2 linked regions of the Elephas maximus indicus genome follow. The protein of the gene in region 2 purifies or fractionates together with the protein of the main gene of each other region. This does not show direct contact. Links are inferred from orthologs where the notes say so. Each region holds a gene or a part of one and is shown on either strand. Other genes may lie near its edges.

Region 1 (7,163 bases), on a different chromosome or scaffold from region 2:
TGCTCCAGGCAGTTGATGGGTGAGCGGGAGAAGGCGACATGGATGTAGGCCAGGACGGACAGCACCAGCAGGGCCTGGGAAGGGCACAGGGTCAGCGGGGGCCACCGAGACCCGCCATCCCGCCTGGAACCCAGGAGGAACCCCGTCAGCAGGGCCCGGACCGGGAAGACCCTCAGAAGTGGGGTGGCTCCTGGCTGCAGCACAAATAGCACCTGGCCATCCCCTCACACATTAGCTGAGTACCGACCGGGTGGAGCCAGAGGTGAGGGGTGCCCCAACACAGCCCCACCCCACCAATGCCTGCAGCCAGACAAGTCCCATGGCACCCTCTTGGGGACTGTGCAGGACCCCCCACCCAGGGAGAGACCAGGCTGGGCCTGACCCCAGCAGATGAAACCCACTAGCCGGGCATACCAACGCCACTTAATGTCTGCGGTCCTGCAGTGGCTTAGGCTAGGAGCTGCCACCTCCAGGAAGCCCACTGGTCCTATTGCAACTCCCTGAGCCACTCCAACTGGCCTCAGAGCTCCCCTGATGGCACCGGCTAAAAAGAAACCTCCCTGTGGAGCCAGGCACCCTCTGTCCCCACTGCCCAGGCCTGGCAGTCAGCTGGGACCACCAAGAGCACAGGGAACCTCCCAGACTGGTTGCACCTATGGCTAGCAGCCCTGCCCCATGAGGCATGGTTTTCTCGCCTGTAAAATGGGACAGCAGCAGCTCTCACCAGGTGATGCTGTCCCCAGAGGACACTGGTGATTTCTGCTGGTCTGCTGCTCATGGTGTGTCCAGAGCCCAACCCAAGCAGCTGACACTCTCCCCGCTCCTCCTCCAAGAAGCCGTCCCTGATGCTGCCAGCCCGAGCCGCAGGGCACCGTGGATGCTTTGCCACCTGGCAGGTCTTTCCCAGCCTGCCTCCCAGTGCCCACTGCTCTGCTTACCCAGCGACCTCACTCTGGCCCCACAGCTGTGGAGGCCAGTGGTGGGTCGGGGCTGAGGGCAGAGGGGTCTTCTCAGACCCTCCGGCTCCACCTCTCCCACACTCCAGCAGTGGGCACTGTATGGCTGTTTCCTAAAAACTGCCCAAGGCCTGCCCACCCCCCGGCAAGACATGACTGCAAAGGGAGGCCACAGCCACTGCAACGAGCATGCCTGACCCTGGGAGGGCAAGAAGACGAGGCTGAAGCTTTCTGGAGCCCAGCACAGCCTTCAGGTCACGGGTGCCGGGGGAAGGGTTCACAAGGAACAGAACCACGCATTCCAGCACTCAGGCGAAAGGAGGTGGTGGGTCAGGAGACTGCCTACGGTCGCGAAGCCTCCCTGCCAGAGCACGTCTGGGCACTGGCAGGGGTCTTTCAGCCCTGGCTCCATTCAGCCCCTTGCACACAGGTGAGACAGATTAGCCCTGACCTCTGACACACCTCAAATCAGGAAGTGATGCAGCCAGGGCCACATATGTGTCTTCAGGGAGGATGACCTCGGGGGACGCTCAGTGCTCCGGCCACTGAGGCAGAGGGTCCTGTCTGGATCCCCAGCCACCCTCAGTGTCAACCCAGGGCCAGGGTTCTCCTCCCTGAGGAAGCCACACACCCTGAGAAGAGCCTCTGCCAGTCGGCCTGACGGCAAAATGCCACTGACCAATACTCAGTCACAGGAGTCCCATCTCACATAGGAGAACTTGGGGTGCCTCCTCCCGGCTGGGACCCCATCCAAGTCTGTCGACCCACAAGGCTCCATGAGCCTCTTTCACCAAACCCCAGAGCCGCAGCTCCCAACTGGAGTCCACTGTGGACTCCTCGGGTCAGCCCCTCACCCACCAGCCATCAACGGAAACGAAAACGGCCATTTCGTTGCTTCCTCAGAAATGTCTAGTGACAACCGAGATCCCCTGCTCAAGCAGCGCCCCTGGAGCTCCAGCCTGGGTGGCTCAGCGACCTGGGCCAGCTCCGGGTCTCAGGCCGTGGCTCCCGCTGAGCAGGATCTGCCAAGTAAGTTGGCCTTCTCAGTACCGATGGTGGTCCCCAGAACCTGCCTTCACAGCGGAGCCCTCTGTCCATCGGAGGGGGGACAGGAAAGGGTCAGGGCCTTGGACAGCAAGGAGGGAGGAGAGCCTGTTCAACCAGACCCACAGGAGCAGGACTCCACAAGAAAGGCGCGGTGCCCACATAACTCCGACTAAGTCCGGCCAGTGACCTAACTAAGCTACATTCTCCTGCGGGCTCCAGGGAGAGGGCATCAGGGTGCAGGCAGGAGAAGAGACGAAGGTGGCGGGGGTGTGTCCTGAGGCACCAGGTTCCTGGCAAAGTCCAGGACTGGGGTTTAGGGCAGGTCAGGGCTGGATGGTGATTGGGAGGGCCGTCCTCCCAGGCTGAGGACCCCAGGCGTTGGAGGGCAGGAAGGGGCCCCTAGGAGGCCGGGGCCGGGGTGAGAATTCTGGGGTTGGGATCAGGGGGGTCCTGTAGGGTGCGGCTCGTGCCTTCCAGGGTGGGAGTCTCAGACCAGGATGGGGCCCAGGAATTGGGGTCAGCGACTAGGCTCAGCGATCGCAGGTTCGGGGGAGGGTCCCGAATCCGTGGAGTCAGGGGTCCAGGCCTCAGAGCAGGAGGGGTTCGGCGTCTCGGCGAGGATCAGGGGTCGGGGTCACAGGTCGGCCGAAGGGATCGGGGTCAGGGGTCGGGGTCGGGGGCCGCGGTCACCTTGAGCAACACGAAGAATTCGAAGAGGCGGCGGAAGGCGGGCGGGAAAAGCCGCGAGTAGGTCACTGCCATCTTGAAAAACAGCGCGTGGAAGAGCCGGTCGCGCACGTTGATGAGCGGGTTGGGGTTCAGGTTGGGGGTGCGAGGCCCGCGCGCGGGGGCCGGGCCACCGCCACCGCCGTTGGGCCCGGGCCCCGGGGCCCCGGGCGCCGCGTGCTCCGACATGCCGCCCAGCGTCGCGCCCTAACGCTCCGCGGATCCCCGAGGGCGCGCCCCGGCCGCCATCGGCCTGTCGCCGCGATCCTTACAACCCCCCGGCCGCGGCCGCCATCTTCCGCCTCCTCGTCCAGCCGCGGCCCTGCTGGTGCCAGAGAGTCGCTGCGCCGGGCAAGAGCGCCCCCGGCGTCCGCGGGGCACACTGGGATGCCGGAGGACCGTCCGCGGCGGCCCCGCCCCGTCGCTCGGCCGCTACGCTCGGCGGCGTCGGGGGGCGGGGCTGCATCCGAGCAGAATTTTTGCATATAGTGCCCCATAAGGCTCCGCGGCTGCTGGCTACGCTTGGGCGGTAAAATAGGCTAACGTCTGAGGATTTTAACGTGATCAAACACAGTCAAAGTAAATTTAACTAGGGGAGATATTGTTTAATATAGGGCTGTGGAAGATTATACTTAAGATATAACGTGTATATAGTTAGGCATAACTGTAAAAGTTATCTGGTCTTAGCCTATAAATAGGGATTCGGGGTGGCACCTGCTTGTGCTCGCTTCGGCAGCACATATACTAAAATTGGAACGATACAGAGAAGATTAGCATGGCCCCTGCGCAAGGATGACACGCAAATTCGTGAAGCGTTCCATATTTTCTTTTCCAGGACGGCGGCAGCCAGCCAGAGTGGACCCTGCCCGTGAAGTGACAGGGCCCGGCTATGCCCCGCCACCTGTGTCCTTAGAAACCGTGCGCGTCTGGGGGTATTTATCGAATGCCTGCTGCATGCACGGATTTAAGAGCTCCCAGATTTCGGGTTGGGGGGTCTCTCTTGCAACTGTCTTAGTTTTTCCCTCTGTGAGTCGGGCTGCGTCAGCGTCCATCTCGCCCCTGCACAGTCAGACCCTGGCTCCCCAGACCCCCGGCCCGGTCTGGCGGGACCAGCGTGTGTCCCGCTGCAAACTGTGTGCACCTGGCGACTGCAAAGTGCTCCAAACCCAGGAAGGAGTTCGAGCTGCGGACACGCGCTCCTCTTGGCTGCCTCGGAGTGGGACGTGTACCTGCCCCTCCACCAGCACCCCACTCCTGACCGCGCCTCGCAGCCTTGGACGGCCCACGGGGCCCCGGGCCCGGTGCTGGGTGCCTCCTAGCACCCGAGTATATTACTGCACCAAGTAAATGAGGATCGCTTACTGTGTGTTCATAAAGAAAACAAAAATCCTCACAACGGAACAATAAGCACCATCACGATAAATGGAGAAAAGATTGACGTTTTCAAGGATTTCATTTTATTTGAATTCACAAATAACACCCATGGAAGCAGCAGTCGGGAAATCAAACAACGTAATGCATTGGGCAAATCTGCTACAAAAAAAAACTCTTAAGAGTTAAAAAGCAAAGATGTCACGTTGAAGACTATGGTGACTGCCTGACCCAAGCTATGATATTTTCACTTGCCCCATATGCATGCGAAAGCTGGACAATGAGTAAGGAAGACAGAAGAAGCAACGCCTTTGAATTACAGTGTTGGCTAGGAATATTGAATATACCATGGACTACAAGAAGAATGAATAAGTCTGTCTTGGAAGAAGTACAACCAGAGTGCTCCTTGGAAGCAAGGACGGTGAGGCTTTGTCTCACATACTTTGGACATGTGGTCAGGAGGGATCAGTCCCTAGAGAAGGACATCATGCTTGGTAAAGTAGAGGGTCAGCAAAAAAGAGGAAGACCTCAACAAAATGGATTGACGAACAGCGGCTGCAACAATGGGCTCAAACTTAACAATGATCATGCGGGCAGCGCAGGCCGGGGCAGTATTTCGTTCTGTTGCGCACAGGGTCGCTGGAAGTTGGAACCTACTCCAGGGCACCTAGCAATAGCACTGTGTATCTGAGGAGCCCTGGTAGGCAGTGGTTAAGAGCTCCGCTGCTAACGGAAACATCAGCAGTTGGAACCCACCAGCCGCTCTGCGGGAGACTGTGGCAGTTGGCTTCTGTAAAGATTTACAACCTTGGAAACCCTATGGGGCAGTTCTGCTCTGTCCTACGAGGTCGCTATGAGTTTGAATCCACTCGATGGCAAGGGACTGTGTGTCTGGTGCTCAAGCGCCCCAAAGCAAGGCAGATTTGGCCACAGCAGGAAGCCTGGAAGGGCAGGGGGAGGAGAGGGACAGGCTGGCAGAAAGCAAAGACGTTTTAGTGGAGAGCTGGACTCTGGGTTAGGCACCCAGGCCTGAAAAGAAAAACGGAAAGGGTTCTGGGCAATGAACTTTCAGACTCCCAGGGCCTGTGCTGGGCTCTGGGCTCACAGTAGTGGCTGTGGGCCGAGAGACTGGCAGGGAGACAGACAAGGTGATGTCTGCCTCCTGACAGTGAGCTTCACGCTGTGATGGGCACAGAGGCCCCTGAGAGAGGTGGGGACATGGGCGGGGGTGGGGGAGTTGTCAGGGAGGGAGGAAACTTTCCAGCTGTGGCCTGGAGGCTGGAGAGAACCTTCCAGACCTAGCTGCTGATTTCATAATTACCTGTGCCTCCTCACTGGACACAGATGGACAGACGGATGGATGGGGCCCTCCCCTACAAAGACAAGAAAGCCAAAGCTGTTCTCTTCCTGTTACACAGGCCTTGTACAGGGCCTGGCATACAGTAGGTGTTCGCTAAGTGCTCAGCTACTAACTGAAAGGTTGGTGGTTCAAATCCACCCAGAGGCACCTCAGAAGAGAGGCTTGGTGATCTACTTTTGAAAAACCAGCCATTGAAAACCTTGTGGAGCACAGCTCTACTCACACATGTGGGGTCGCCATGAGTCAGGTCAACTGGAAAGCAACTGGTTTTGTTTTTCCCCTTAAAATTATTATGAATCAATAGAGTGGAGAGGGAGGGTGTGCTGTCATGTTGTAGGGAGAACAACTAGGGTCACATTACAATGTGTATAAGTTTTTGTTTGAGAAACTGATTTGAATTGTAAACTTGCACTTGAAGCACAATAAAAGGAAAAAAAAATTATGAATCATGCCCAGCTTATTAAAAAAAAAAATCATAAAGGGAGAAGAAATTGTCTTTCCCAGTGGAGAGACTGGGTGGGCATCCCCTTGACGAGGAGAGGAAGCCCAGCCTCACTGTGGGGCGCTGGGGGCCTTGCATGTGAGGCAGAGGACAGCTGCCAGGCCTCCGGGGAAGGCCAGTCAAGCCTCTGCCCAGTGCCAATAAGATCAGTGGCCACCTGGGGCTCCTGAGCCTGCAAAATGTGGCCAGTGTGACTGAGGAGCTTAGTTTTGAATGTAACTTATTTTTTTCTAACTTAATTCAAGTTTTAATAGCCATATAAGGAGCCCTGGTGGTGCAGTGGTCAAGCGCTCGGCTGCTAACCAGAGGGTCGGTGGTTTAAGCCCTCTGGAGAAAGATGTGGCAGCCTGCTTCCATAAAGATTTCAGCTTTGGAAACCCTATGGAGCAGTTCCACGCTGTCCTTGTCATGGATTGAAATGTGTCCCCCAAAATGTGTGTCAACTTGGTTAGGCCATAATTCCCAGTATTGTGTAGCTGGCCGCCATTTTGTCATCTGATGTGATTTTCCTGTGTGTTGTAAATTCTGCCTCTATGATGTTAATGAAGTAGGATTAGAGGCAGTTATGTTAATGAGGCAGGACTCAATCTACAAGATTACGTTGTGTTTTAAACCAATCTCTTCTGAGATATAAAAGAGAGAAGTGAGCAGAGAGACGGGGGATCTCATACCACCAAGAAAGTAGTGCCAGGAGCAGAGTGAGTCTTCTGGACCAGAGATTCCTGTGCTGAGAAGCTCCTAGACCAGGAGAAGATGGATGACAAGGACCTTCCTCCAGAGGTGACAGAGAGAGAAAGTCTTGCCCCGGAGCTGGTACCCTGAATTCAGACTTCCAGCCTCCTAGACCGTAAGAGAATAAACTTCTGTTTGTTAAAGCCATCCACTTGTGGTATTTCTGTTATAGCAGTCCTAGATAATTAAGACAGTCCTACGGGGTCGCTATGAGTTGGAATGGATTCAACGGCAGTGGATTTAAATAGCCAAATGGGGCAAGAGGCTGCCATATCAGATGGTGTAGCTGTAAACCTTACTTCCACTTGCCAGGAACACAGAGCCTCCAAGAACAAGTTAAACTTCACCACAAATGCAAACTGTGCACCCAACACCCTTAAAAAGTCACCATTAGTTGAAAGCAGGGAGGCAAACAGATCCCTGTACACCAAGGTTCACAGCAGCACCGTTTACAGGAGCCAAAGGGTGG
Region 2 (7,574 bases):
GACTTTCTCTCTTTGTCAGCTCTGAGGGAAGGTTCTTGCCTCCTTTCAACATCTGTGGACCCTGCATTCCTTGGAAATCTACGTATGTTTTGGCATCAATCTTCCCCCAGGTATAGGAGGTGCAGGGATATACTCTGCTCCTGGCCTGGCTCTTCTTTCTTGGTGGTATTCAGGTCCCTCTCTCTGTGCTTACTTCTCTCTGCTTTCATCTCTTGTAGGGACCAAATTATTTCTTAGTTATCTAGTGCTGCTACAACAGAAATACCACAAGTGGATGGCTTTAATAAACAGAAATTTATTCTCTCACAATTTAGGAGGCTAAAAGTTCAAATTTAGGGCGCCAGCTCCAAGGGAAGGCCTTCTTTCTCTCTCTGCCTGATGGAAGGTCCTTGTCTCCTTTCAACATCTGAGAGCCCCGCATTCCTTTGAGATCCCCATGTGTCTTGGCATCAATCTTCCCCTGAGTCTAGGAGGTTCTCAGCACAGGGACCCTGAATCCAAAGGATGTACTCCTCTTCTGACTCTTCTTTCTTGGTGGTAGGCGGTCCTTCCTCTCTTTGCTCACTTCTCTCTCCTTTTATCTCTTGTAAGATAAAAGATATGACTCAAGCAAGGGTGGTACCTCCCACCCTTATCCTCATTAACATAACCCAGTCATGCCTCATTAACGTAATGGAGAACTCACTTCCAAATGGGACCATAATCACAGGCATAGAGGCTAGGATTTATAACATCAGATCATAAAATGGAGAAACAACCACACAATACTGGGAACCATGGCCTAGCCAAGTTGACACAAATTTGGGGGGACTCAATTCAACACATGACACCCCACCCTTTGGCCTCCAAAAATTCATGTCCTTGCCACGTGTGAAACACATTCACCTCATCATATTATCCCAAAAGTCTTAAATCAACTCCAAGTATCTCAGAGTTTAGGAAGCTAGAAGTCTAAATTCAGGGTGCCAGCTCTAGGAGAAGGTTTTCTCTGTCAGCTCTGAAGGAAGGTCCTTGTCTCTTCTGAGCTTCTGCTCCTAGATGATCTTCATCTGGCTTGGCATCTCTCTTCTCCCATTTGTACTACTTAGCTTGCTTGTTCAATATCTTTTATATTAAAAAATAGATTGACTCAAGATACACCCTAATCCTACCTCATTAACATAACAAACATAAACTAATCATGCCTCATTAATATAACAACCAACCCATTCACAAACGGGATTATAACTACAGGTATGGGTTAGGATTTACAACACATCACAAGATGGAGCATAATTAGATCACGAAATGGAGGACAACCACACAATACCGTAAATCGTGGCCTAGCCGAGCTGACACATATTTTGGGGGGACACAAGCCAATCCCTAACATTCTACCTTTTACCAAAAAAAGAAAAAACAAACAATAAAAAAAACTTGTTACTATTGAGCCAATTCCAACCCATAGCAACCCTATAGGCTAGAACTGAATTGCCCCATAGCATTTCCAAGGAGCAGCTGGTAGATTCGAACTACCAACCTTTTTGGTTTGTACCTGTAGCTCTTAACTACTGCACCACCAGGGCTCCATTTGGCCCCCAAAAATTCATGTACTTGTCACGTGAAAAACACATTCACCCCATCACATTATCCCAAAAGTCTTAAAATCAACTCCAACTCCAAAATCTCATTTCTGTATCATTTAAATCATATACGGGTGAGCCTTTAGGCATATTCCATCCTGGGGCAAAATTCCTCTTCATCTGTGAACAGATTCTCCCCTACAGCCTCCAGAAAGGAAAGAAGCCCTGCTAACACCTGGTTTTAGCCCCAGGGGACCCATTCCCAACTTCTAACTACGGAATTGTAAAATAATAAATTTGTGTTGTTTTAAGCCACTAAATTTGTGATAATTTGTCACACTAGCAAAGGCAAATTAATACATTCAGGTTAAAACAAAACAGAGCTGCAGAATCACATAGCTCCCGGTAGAAGTCTGGAGCACATGCTTGCGGGGCTGGATGTGAGGTGGTGGGAAAACAAAACTTCTCCAGAAGACGACTGAAATAGATGTAATGCTCGACTAAATTCAAGTGGGTACATAACGAGATACCTGGTAGTGGAGGCACTGAAGAAGCGTAAGATTGCCATTGAGCAAATATTTCATGATAACTCATTAAAAGGTCTGGATGACCCCCTTATGTGGCTGTCAGTGGAAATTCCGGTGCCCTGAGGAGGATAAATCAGGCCAGCAGCACTTTTTACAAAGCTCTGCTTTCAGGCACTGTATGTTGCAGAAGCTCACTTCCTTTATTTCCACCCTGATGGCTAACACTAGGTAGTGGGAAGAAAGCTTGGTCTGAAATGTATGAGAAAGTCAGATCCGGATAGAATTCATTACAGAGGAGGCAACAACCACAGAAGATGACCTGGGAAATGAAAGGCAAAGAAAAGAGACAAAATGGGGATGAAGTTGAAGGCTTAATAGTGAGAAAAGAAAGATTGGAAAAGGGAAGACAGATTAGGAAGAAAGCAAAAATTCCCATCAAGGAACAGGATATCACCACAGTTTTTAAAGCCTGGTCACACATATTATCTCATTTAAATATCACAACAACCCTATGAGGTAATTACATTATTATTTCTGCTGTACAAATGGGGAAGCCGAAACCGAGAGCCAGTGAGCCCAAAGCCACACATACTAAAGACTGTGTAGTCTTGTAACTCCTTTTCCCTGCGTTGTTCTACCTCATTTCTCCTTGTCTCTCAGGGAATAATGGAAGCACCTCATCATGGGTTTGCTTACTGCTGCTCCCTTGCCAAACTGCACAGATGCCAAAAACCTCAAGATGTTTGTTCCAAAGAAATACAGGTTAATTCACCTGGTGACTACTCTTTGTTCACGCAAAATACAAAGAGCTGATTACAGCCGCCCCACTCCCAGCCTTCCCCGTTTTTCTTCTCCAGCTTCCATGTCCAACCCTAGCTCCATCACTACTGTCCCCCTTCCATCCTTCATACCCCCAAACTCCGTATTCACTGCCGTGTCCCTCCTCCGGTCACTCTGGTTTCGGATGGAACCGGCCGGGGGGGGGGGCGGAAATAAACGAGCGGTTTGGGTAGGGCAAGGTGTGCCAGCCTCAAGGAAATGCTTTTCAGTCCCGCCTCCCACTATGGGGCGTGGCTGCCATTAAAGGATGGAGTTTGGGCGGGCTCCCCACCAAGGGAACTCTAAGGGCACCGGGGTTTCCGGGACTCGCAGCACCAGCCGTTGGGCAACCTCTGCTGAAACTATAAAAGCTGGACTTAGAACTGATCTAGATACTAATTTCCTGCCCTAGTGATTGCTAGGTGGTCCAGTATAAAGGAGACTCCAGTCCAAGTGAAAATGGAAAGCTGCTATAAACGGCAACAGCGCCACCTCGTGTCCCATCCCATGGCAGCTACCGTCATTGGCGCTTAAAATGGTTTAGAACTTCAGGGTCACTAGTCGCCACAGGGACATTGTCCACCCCATCCGTTTGCTGGGTGTACAAGCGTTGCTACATGGAGAACTTAGAAGGAATAAATGGAAATGAAAACCCCAGGAGTAGGTAATTAATCGTCAATTCATTTACCGTATGTTTTTTAAATACCCATTTTGTGCTTGTCTCCTGTGGGGACATAGTAGTAAATAAAGAAGTTATTTACTTCTTGTAAATTCCTCGTGGAATTTACAATTATAGGAAACATTCAAGAAAATGCATAGCTGGAAGAATTCCAATTAGATATTCATATCTATACAAGTTCTGATAAAGAATTATAGGTCATATATTACTTGAATAGGTGACCAGTTTGTTCAGCCTTGAGAGCATACCAAACAGAAACTGGAATTCACTAGGACAGAAGGAAATTCGCTGCAATGTAATATGGAGTATTTAGAGATTGAGGTACTTCAGTCCTTATGGTGTCCTTCATTGAAATATTCATTTCCTTCAGAGCTCTTTTAAAACAGAATGAAGTTTCATTTTTGTGTTAGAACTGATGAATAAAAGCCAAAGGAATTTAGGTGAGCTTTTTTATATTATTTAATCTCCCACTCTACCTCTGTAGGCACCACAATCTCTTTAAGGGAAGAGCCTGTGACTTACTCATCTTTTTAATTCCCATGGCACCCTAGCATATTACTAGATACTTGTTAGTCTGTCAATAAAGGTAATGCACATGATTTTGTTTTTAAAATCTGGCTATTGTTAAGGAACCATTATATCAATAGAAATTTCAGTCTCTAGGACCGAGAATTTTGAAAAGGAAAATATAACAAAGAGGCAGAAACAAAAAATTGCCCTCCAATGTTATTGAGCAATTCCAATTTTATATATATATTTTTTTCCTGAGATAGAGAAAACAGTGGAAATAGTAATGTCCTGACATAAAACCACCTGAGGACATGCCATACAGAGAGTTCTGGTTAAAATAGCAGATATAAACAGGAGGTATGTATCTGTGGCTAGTCCCACACATATATTCATGAACAAGGTGGCCCGATATTTATCATTTCTCTTTTCTCTCCATGTGTTCATCCCCTTACAATTTCAATTACTACTTCCATCTCAGATTTCTGGCTCTCTGACTCAACATCAGCAGTGCTTCAGTCCCAGCATACCTGCCACATGGTTATTTCTGCCTTGCTATTAATTCCATACACGTTTATTGAGTGCCCATTATCTGCTCTGCCCATGTTAAGTACTAAACGGTAGGAAGTCCCACTAAAATACACACTGGGGCTCACATCGTTCTCCAGTTTATTGCACAGGAATTTTAACTACCAGATCCTGCTCGCCTCTAGATTCGATAGCAATGCCCTCCATTTGCGTGTTACTTAGTGCATTCACTTGTATGCTTCTGCGGTTGTGATGACAGATTCCCGCTTGAAGTCTGAAGTCTGCTGGGCTTCTGCAATCTATTTCCATAAGGCATGGCATCTCCCTTGGGAAATTACATTGTAAGGAAAAGAACAGAGTTTGAAGGCTTTGCCCAATAACTAAGAATAGTTTGGGTTTTGGTATGTGTTGGACTCTTTGTGTCCTTTAGCTCTGGGCTGGTGACTTATAACCGAGTCCTAGGCAGAGGAGAGTGTAGGTACAACCACAGTCATTCCTTGGTATCTGAGGGGGATTGGTTCCAGGACCCCCGTGGACACCAAAATTTGTGGATGCTCAAGAACCTTATACAAAATGGCACAGTATTTGCATATAACCTATGCACATCCTCCCCTATATTTTAAATCACCCCTAGATCACTTATAATAATAATAATAAAAAGTAAATGCTATGCAGGTAGTTGTTTCATCACAATTGAAGACTTGCTCTGGAAGGCAGCCTTTCTCTTCTCTGAGTTTCTTGAGCTCTCCTGGGGATGCTGATTCTGCCTGGCCATGAGTCCATGCAGATTCTCCCGTGATCTTTAGGTTCTTGAGGCTGTAGCTCTTTCCAGAGCTAGCCAGCCAGCCCTTACTAGCCTTCAGCTCCTTCTTCTCCTTCTCCTCAGCCCCTCACACTTCGTCTTTGAGGGACTGCTTTGACCACTCCTTTGCTTTCTAGGAGCCATTTTTCACAGAAACAAAGGGTGCACACAATACAAGTAGTGAAGGAACGAACAGTGCTCCAACAACGAGCACTGGAGAAAGACTGAGGATCTGTGAGATGACGGGAGGCCACAGCAGGGTACGCCTACACATCACTGCATTCGCTTGGATTTGGCTTAGCGCTTGGCTAGTGGCAAATTCAAGTTTTACTCTTTGCAAAAAATCTTTTTTCCGAATATTTTCGATCTTTGGTTGGTTGAATCCGCAGATGCAGAACCCGTGGATATGAAGGGCCAACTGTAGTGGAGGTATTTCTCTAAAAACTGTACTAGACACCCGGTTGCATTGCTTTGGAACTGTTGGAAAGGAATTTAACACAAGCAAGGCAGATGGATTATTTCAAGTTTATATGAAACACATCCCAACTTCACCACAGGAGGGCAGCAGTGGCCATAAATAGAAGATAGCGTCACAGGCTCCTGTGGCTTACCTGGACCGCTTGCACTGGCACAAAGGAACAATGCAACTTTGATGGCAGCTGTGGTGTAGAGTTATCAGTAGTCTCTGCAATAATACCAGACACCTCAATGGGGCTTCTCAACCAATGAGAGAAGATTAGACATCACCAGAGGGAACCTAAACCAGAGTAAGAAAATCCTAGACTCTATGTAGTAGCTGGGCACTGAGTTGATGGAACATTTATAAGGTCTCCCAGGGATAGCTCGGGAAGAAGTCTTTTAAGAAAGATCACAGATTCTGCAACCAACCCAAGGGAACCTGAGTTATTACTGTCCGTGGGACTCTATCCCCAGGTTGGTATGCCCTAGAGAATCTGGATTATGGGTACTGAATTTCCCAAATATATGTTTTTTCTTTTTACATCGTGCATTAGTTTTCTATTGCTTCCATAGTAGCAAATTATCACAAACTTGGTGGCTTAAACAACACAAGTCTATTGTCTTACAATTTTATAGGCCAGAAATCCAACATGGGTGTGACTGGGCTAAAATCAAGGTGTTGGCAGGGCTGTGTTTCTTTCTGGAGGCCATAGAGGAGAATCCATTTCCTTGCCTTTTCCAGCTTCTGGAGGCCATCCACATTTTTTTATTCACAATTCTGTTTTCTCCATCTTTAATGCCAGCAACAGTGGGTCGAATCCTTCTTACAACAGTTCCAAAGCAATGCAACTGGATGTCTAGTACAGTTTTTAGAGAAATACCTCCACTACAGTCGGCTCTTCATATCCGCGGGTTCTGCATCTGCGGATTCAACCAACCAAAGTCTTTCTCCCGCTGGCCACAGCTGGGAAAGTTTCTCTGCTTTTAAGGATTTGTGTGATTAGATTAAGCCCAGTTATAATCCAGGATAATCTCTCTAGCTCAAATTCTGTAACCTTAGTCACATCTGCAAAGTCCCTGCTGCCATGTAAAGTAACATATTCACAGATTCCAAGGATTAGGGACTGGACACCTTTGGAGATCCATTATTCTGCCTACCACATATTGTTTTTGAGAGATTTTAGTATAAGGTCCAGAGTCCCTGGGGGTGCAAACAGTTAAAGAGCTTGGCTGCTAACCAAAAAGTTGGAGGCTCAAGTCCACCCAGACATGCCTTGGAAGAAAGTCCTTGTAATCTACTTCTGAAAAATCACCATTTGAAAACCCTATGGAGCACAGTTCCACTCTGACACACCTGCAGTCATGATGTGTCATAGTCAAAGGCAACTGGTAATAGTATCTCATACCTCTTTATATTCTGTTTCCTACAAATAGTAAAAGATCAATAAATGTTGTTGACCATAAAAGAAATACCCAACTTGCCAATTACTTATTCTGGCAAAGAACACCCATGCTCCCCATGGAGAATAATGTGCTGATTTGGGACATTTTGCCAGCCACTTGGCCCCACTCCTTTCTTCCCCTTTTCTTCCTTTTCCCAAGATTCTCATAGAATCATTTAGTGTAGTTTAAAGGTCACTGACCTGCAGTCAGGGTCCATAGCCTGGGTCAAGTTTGGCATGTTGACCTAG

What was found. The genes of interacting proteins can lie anywhere in the genome.
Region 1: the proteins of STYK1 (region 2) and TMEM259 purify together in Homo sapiens (affinity purification with mass spectrometry; 3 studies listed by BioGRID and IntAct, with this or other methods). This does not show direct contact. The link is inferred for Elephas maximus indicus from reciprocal best matches to the Homo sapiens genes STYK1 and TMEM259.

Annotation. Positions count from the first base shown.
Region 1 is NC_064821.1:739,013-746,175, forward strand, and holds the start of TMEM259 (membralin), read right to left. Parts: upstream 3,079-7,163; 5' UTR 2,919-3,078; coding exon 2,694-2,918; intron 75-2,693; coding exon 1-74. UniProt on the Homo sapiens protein: May have a role in the ERAD pathway required for clearance of misfolded proteins in the endoplasmic reticulum (ER). Promotes survival of motor neurons, probably by protecting against ER stress.
Region 2 is NC_064822.1:69,424,363-69,431,936, forward strand, and holds the start of STYK1 (tyrosine-protein kinase STYK1), read right to left. Parts: upstream 3,070-7,574; 5' UTR 3,001-3,069; intron 1-3,000. UniProt on the Homo sapiens protein: Probable tyrosine protein-kinase, which has strong transforming capabilities on a variety of cell lines. When overexpressed, it can also induce tumor cell invasion as well as metastasis in distant organs.